Tribolium castaneum: one gene and its partner. Each later gene encodes a partner of the first gene's protein in a complex. Links are inferred from orthologs where the notes say so. Each region holds a gene or a part of one and is shown on either strand. Other genes may lie near its edges.

The links.
Region 2: the proteins of N (region 1) and Su(dx) are in contact, whole or in part, in an NMR structure (PDB 2JMF), measured with the Drosophila melanogaster proteins. The link is inferred for Tribolium castaneum from reciprocal best matches to the Drosophila melanogaster genes N and Su(dx). Residues at the interface, in NP_001245510.1 of Drosophila melanogaster: Lys2323, Gln2324, Pro2326, Tyr2328, Glu2329, Asp2330, Lys2333; in NP_001259898.1 of Drosophila melanogaster: Glu528, Arg530, Thr532, Ala533, Ala534, Glu536, Phe538, Val540, His542, Arg545, Thr547.

What each region holds. Positions count from the first base shown.
Region 1 is NC_087400.1:125,030-129,423, reverse strand, and holds the start of N (notch), read left to right. Parts: upstream 1-1,277; 5' UTR 1,278-1,829; coding exon 1,830-1,914; intron 1,915-4,394. Other genes in the region: CCDC151 (myosin heavy chain, clone 203), read left to right, coding at 1-759, 813-1,043. UniProt on the Drosophila melanogaster protein: Essential signaling protein which has a major role in many developmental processes. Functions as a receptor for membrane-bound ligands Delta and Serrate to regulate cell-fate determination.
Region 2 is NC_087398.1:5,358,363-5,360,849, forward strand, and holds the end of Su(dx) (E3 ubiquitin-protein ligase Su(dx)), read right to left. Parts: coding exon 2,329-2,487; intron 2,278-2,328; coding exon 1,443-2,277; intron 1,392-1,442; coding exon 1,122-1,391; 3' UTR 663-1,121; downstream 1-662. Other genes in the region: HCLS1-associated protein X-1, read left to right, coding at 1-78, 135-252, 308-550.

The DNA of each region.
Region 1 (4,394 bases):
ATTGAGGAGGAATTAGCGTTGCAAAATAACGACATTACCGAACTGCAACACGTAATGAACGAAGCCACGAAAAAACGGAGCACAGCACGTGGACACCTCCTTCGAGAGGAGAAAATTGCAATGTCAAGTGCACATTTTAGAGATAGACAAACTGTGGAAGGCCAAAGATTGGTTACGAGGCGAAAACAAGAGTTAGAGTTGCTGGAAAAACGTATTTTCCAAGTTGTGAAAGTCGCAAGAGTTGAGGAAATAATTGAGGAGGAAAATGAAACAATGCTCACAACTTTATCACCACCGGAGGAAGTTTTAACTCGGGCTTTCGAGGTTTTGAAGAAAGCGACAGGGGCCACTAACACCTCGGAGGTTTTACACAAATTTAACATGCAAAAAGACACCTTAGAACGGCTTATTTTGCTACGGAAAAAATCAGAAAGCGAGAAGAAACAACTCGAGAAGAATTTGGACGATTTAAACACGCAATTGGAGTTTTTCAAGTACGCTGAAGTGAAGGAAACTGAACGCAAGTCGCTTAAAATGGAACAAATGCTAAGCCAAATCGACGAAATCAAAAACATATCACTCAAAACCAACAATTTGAAACTGGTGAAGGATAAGACGATTCAGACGATTCTCCGATCTGTTCAAGAGTTACAAGCTTGCATTAACCCGATTTCGGTGCCAGAAAGCAACGTTTTGGGCACTTTGAAGTGCATTAAGTCCGATTTGGCCAAAATTATCCGCATTGAAAACGAAGAAAACGTAGCTTTTTTAACACATTTTTTACCATTCCTTGTAATAAATTAATTTATTAGGTCGTTAAACTTGAAGATATTGAAGAAAAGTGGTTGCCGGGACCGTACAGTGGCCTAGTACGTAGAACTCCAATTCCCCAGCCCGGGACTTCCCCGGCTCCTCCTCCACCTCCCACGGGATCTGAAGACGAGGAGGAGGTCCCGTCCAGGACTTACTTGAAACGTCAAGCCCAATTAGTCGTCGATGCGAAGTCACGGCGCAAAAATATTCGAATTCCCGCAAAAAAATAAAGGAAGTAAAATTTTTTGTGTAATAAATTTGCAAATAACTATGTGAAAATTTTCCGCTGAAAATAACAGTTAGACGCAATTACGACATAAACTGGGCACAATAAACAATAAAAATTCACGCAGCGCGAAATTTGAATTTTTTGTTTGGCGCGATTGGTTATTGGTACAAAAAACCATGGTTACCGACTATCATTCCTTAACAACCAGATTGTTTTGGTGAAAACCCGCGTGAAACGTGTGTCAAGAGCGAAACCAGAAACTATCTAATCGTGGTCATATCGCAGTTTTGATTTTTCTTTCGTTCGGTAAACGAGATAAATCTGAATCAGTCTGAATATTGAATCCGTCATTGGTTGGGGGAAGAACCACCGACATTCCAACATGTTGCTGTGAAAAGTAGTACCGAAGAAATTTTCTCACGCGCTTATCTCCCGTCTTTGGCACTTTCGCGCAATAGGTTGCACACGAATCGTTTCAGTTTGTGAAAAACTGTCCTCGGTGTGTTTTTTCCGCTGGCTTTTGGCCATTTTCCGGTGAGTTTGCCGAGATAAATCGGCGTAGGAATACAAGAATCATCCGGTGGCCATCTTGGCGCGTCTCAAACAAAGCCCCCTCTCAGAACGGAGTGTGCTGTGGTCGGTTGTGTATTGTGCGTATTTCAAGCGCTGAAAAAACGCAAATTTTCAATGAAAAACACTGAAAAAGTGGCCGAAAGCACGCGGAGAATGTGTCTAACGTAGTGGTGCGTGTGTGGAGTGTGTGCCCCATGAGGGAATTTACACGAAAATGTGGATTACTAACTGGAAGGATTATGATTTACGGATTATAGTGTCTTCCGCGGTTTTACTGGCCCTAGCGAATGTAGCAACAGGTGAGGACCACTCGTAACAGCCCCAAAACAGGACTTTCACATAGATTAAGACGGCTGTGAAGTCAAAATTTTTGACGTTTTGAGCGAGAGCAAAATGGCGCCGCCGGATGAATTTTATCCCAATTATTGCATTGCTGGACCATAATTAGGCAAATATAAAGCACACTTCCGGCATGAAATGTAAACAAAACGCCAGGTTCTCAAGTACCACTTGATACTCGCGTAAACAAGTTAAGTGACGGAAAATCGTAATTAGGGGATATCCTGAGAAATTTTACGAAATGTGCACATTGCCAGTTATGCAAAATAACCAGAAATCCGTTGGTGCACAATTTGAATCCTTGTTAAGCCGTTGGTTGCTATGGTTTTTAATGTCAAAATGTGAATCGTTGCTATGGTTCTAATGTCAAAATATTGTATCGTTGCCATGGTTTTTATTCTCAAAAATTGCAGCAAAATTAAATAAAGATGTGTAGATAATGAAGTGCTGGGATTATGTGCACTGTTAAGTGTAACAAACCTGTTGTATTTCCGCGCTGTTGTGTGTGAAAAGCGCGCGGTATAATTTTTTACTTTAACTACTTCTGGATTTTCAAGCTGAAACTTACGCCAAACGATTCCTCTGAGTGCCCTGATGACCGTACACTATGAATTTTCTTGTGCAAATTGAAAATAACATTACAAAAATAATTTTTATTTTCACTCATTTCACTTGAATCGCCATTTTTGTTGATTTTAAGGGATACAACGTTCGCCACCAGGGTGTGCATGCGTTGCGTGTGCTTATTTCTGATTGGTTGTTATTGTTTAGCTTCAACAGGTAAGAATCGCACCTGCGTGTTTGTTATGATTATAACACCTTCGGGTATTCCCAGAATGAATTTAAATGACGTATTATACCTTTTTCATTAAAAAGTAGGTGTATTTTTTCATATTTTGCAATTTGAATTTATGTCTCTGTGCTCTGATTGGCTGATTGACGGAAGTGGGGATGCATTCCCGCATTTCCCTTCATGCAACAACACAACCAACAACACCACTCCATTACTATTTTACTTACTAGTGGTGAACAAGGTATTTTTTTGTGAGTGCTACGTTCTTGAGGTTAATTTACCAATCGTGGTGTATATTTCCTTTTAGTTAGCTGGGGCGCAGCCCCAGCCTCCTGCCACGAACTGTACGGCACCCTAGCTCCATAAAAAACACTATTCCACGTGTCGAGTTCCACGTTTTCGAGTTTAATTGGTCGTGGGGTATGTTTCCTTTTAGTTAACTGGGGCGAAGCCCCAGCCACGCGCAGCATAGTTCCATAAAAACCACTATTCCACGTTTCGAGTTCAACATTTTCGAGTTTAATCGTCCGTGGGGTATGTTTATTTTTAGGTCGCTGGGGCGAAGCCCCAGCCTGCTGGGGCGAAGCCCCAGCCTGCGGGCTATCATCTGTAGGCGCCTTGCCTCATTTATAGTTATATTTACGGCTAATATCATTTATTAGAGTGTTAATAAAATTTAAAAAGTCTAGGTCAAGGTCATTCAAAGTAGAATTTTTCGAAAACGGGGCATTTGCACAAACTTTCATGGTCATATCTTTGATCTAGAGGCTTTTTAAAGCAAAATGCAAAAAAAAAATTTTCAAAAATCCAGAAGTAGCTAAAGTAAAAATTTACCAAGCGCGCAAATGTGCTAAAGATTTCAACGTTGGATGAGAAACCGAGCCAAAAATTTAATTAGTTGTGTGGCGAAAAATCTTACGTCATTTGACGGAACCGATAAATATTTTATTAATTAGTTTAGTTCTCAAGAATAATCAAGAGTTGCATGAAACCAGTTATTTAGTTCACGCAATCTGCATCTAGTGAGTGTGTTTTCGTATTCCCAGCTCACTGCGTTCACTTTGTTCTTTTTCTCTAGGGAATTTGAATTTTAATCATCGTAAAAATTATACCGAGGGAACAAATAAATATTGCGACTTGAACCCGCGCCCGTTTTAGACGAGACCACCTGTCATGACCGTTACAGAACTTTTATACATAGGGGGGTTTAAAGTACGTCGGGTGTGACGTCACGACACAGCTGTATATGCTCATACACACATGTAAAAGGACGCTTAAAGATTAGATATTTACACAAACTTTGAAAAAAAAAATAAAGAAATTGTGCAATATTACGAAAATTGGGCCAGAAAGGACCAACATAACATTGTTACCAAGCAACAGTCACATACCGTTACCATGGAAATGGTTATTTTATCGGTAAAATTTGAGTGTTAGCTCAGAAACGTGAAAATTCGAAAAATTTTCGACTTAATTTGGTCATTTTTCAATTACAATCTCACAAATAACGAAAATTAAATTGGTTTCTGGTTTAAAATGAACTAAATCCGGCGAAATAAGAGTAAAATAACATCAATTTCTATAAAACATTGATGATTTTTCAGCTTATTTTAAGGAAATTTTACAAGATTACGGTTTTTAGCTTTT
Region 2 (2,487 bases), on another chromosome or scaffold:
GGATCAATTCCTCAAACCTGGGTTTGAGAAACCCAAGGAGAGAATTGAAGAGAAAAGAGATGAAGACATTGACGGCAGGTATACGATAAAATTTTTGTTTGTTTTGTTTTAATCCGTTGAAAAATTTACTTTAGGTTGGATATAAGGGATTGGGGATCGGTTTTTAAGGGTGAAAATTCTCAAACGCCAGTACCGAGGACACGCTTTTTTGGCCAAAGTGTTACCTCCAAAACTGTTAGGAATCCAGATGGGGTACGGTTGCGTGTTATGATTTTAAAAATTTAATATCAATCTATTCATATTTTAGTCTATTGAAACGCATCATACTGTGAGGGATAACGAGGGTAATGAAGAAACGACCATCACGCGAAAAGTAGCTGATAAAGAATATACCATTACAAAACGTAGAGATAAAGAAGGTAAAGAAGAAATTATTGAAAATCTGGTAAACTTAGATGAGAATGAGAAGGATAAATTTTTCCCGCAACAAAGGAAACTTCCGGAATTGGGTAACAAACCTTGGCCGTTTTTTGACCAGTTTTTTAAATAATTGAATTGTAAAGTATGAAAATAGAAAAATTTATTTATTGATATATTCTGGACACGTAAGCAAGCATTAAAAACAGAAACGTTGTTGAGGTCGTTTTAAGAAATAAAACAACTTGTTTTACTTGTAATAATTTAATAATTCGCTTCGCATATTTATATACATTTCCTCACTTTACAATATTCTACAAGTGATTATAAAGTAAACAGGTTGTAAATGAAATTTCAAGCCAGTTCGGTTCCAGTCAGTGTATACTTTGGTTAAAAATAAAATTAAAAAAATAATTATGATAGTGCACACCCACGATGGAATGTCATTTTTCGTATTCAAAAATATGTAGTCTTCCCCACATTATTTTCTCTTCAAAAAGTATTTACATTTAGTTATAATCTGTTAGATAAGCTAGAAAATAGGCCAATATTTCTACATATCACATTGAAATACAATCCGACCGAAGTAACAACACAAACAAACTAACAAAAATTGCACAAGCACTGCAAGAAGAGGCCCAAAGAAACGAAATCTCAAACCATGGTCAAGAATCAGGTACGGCTGTTATTACACAATTGAAACTTTACTCCTGACCAAACGTATCAGTCTCTTCAATCGCGTAAGTCAACTTTTCCACCAACTGTTCGTAACTTTTGTACGGCGGCAGATCAAGACGATTGAAACACGTGTGCGAGCGCGGCAACCACGACTCCTTCCCCACCTTTTCAATGCAGAACTTTTGGGGCCCGTTGGAACCCATCAGTTCGGCGAAGCCGCCCACAGGCACACGACACGTCCCTGTCACAAACTGCAGCAAGCGGGCCCGCTTCTCATTATCAGACTGACGCACAAACTAGAAGAAAGAAAAAATAGAAGTGGTTTACAACGTGGTTTTAATACAAACCTGCCAAAACCACACCACCGGCTTGCTACTTCGCGTGTAGTGCCTGTAGATAGTGTGTCGTTGCCAATCGTCCACGTCTATCTCCTGCATGCCACAGAGCAGCAGCTCCAACTCCCTCTCGTCGAAATACTTCAGCCACTCAATGGGCACAACTTCGTTAAAACCGTCCAAAAAGGCTTGAGTTTGCTGCTCGATGCCTCTTGTCATCCTCCACTCGGTCATTAACGTCAAATACTCCTCTTTATTTTCTTCCGTAACTTTTTCCTTATCGCCGTTTTTCTTCAACTCATGGTGCACCACTTGGCCCAAAACTTCGAAATCGACGCTATAGTACAACTCCAAGCCACACTCATCGATGTTGTTCTCCTTGATCCACACCAGCGAATTGTAGAATTCGGGATCTATACTTTCAATATCTTTCATCACAAGTTTCTTCCCCAGCATCCGCTTGTAGAAGGGCATTGTGAAACCCGAATAAATAAATCTCCCGTGGTACAAAGCCATGGCGATAAAGCGCCCAATAAATTTGAAGTAAGTGAGGTGTTCGGGGTTCACATACGACGCAGGGTTGATTTGTAGACTGTAGTTGTTTTTGTTTGCGTACTCGAAGAGACAATACATCGGGTTTAGGGCTTCGTGCGAGACTAAGAAAAACCACTCGCGACTCACACCGCCGTAGTCTAGCCCTTCTTCGCCTTTGAAGATGATGTAGAGGCGCCTTCGGAGCTCGTACGCCGGTAGGCGCATTATCGTGTGGAAGGAGTCCTCAAAGAGGGTCTGACGCGACACTTGGATTTTTATGTGGCTGGGGAGGGCGTTGCTCTGACACAGGAACCTGAAAGGAAAATTTTGTTAGCTTCGCATTTTATTTTTATCAAACAATTACCTAAACTGGCTAATCTTCCACTTGAACGACCTCTCGTACGCCCTCGGCACCCCATACACCCCCTTGGGCCCTTTGGGCGCCCCCGGCCTGGGATCATCAAACGTTGTAGTCTTCGTATTATGATCGACAAAATATCGCTTCCCCTCGTCCGTATACCTG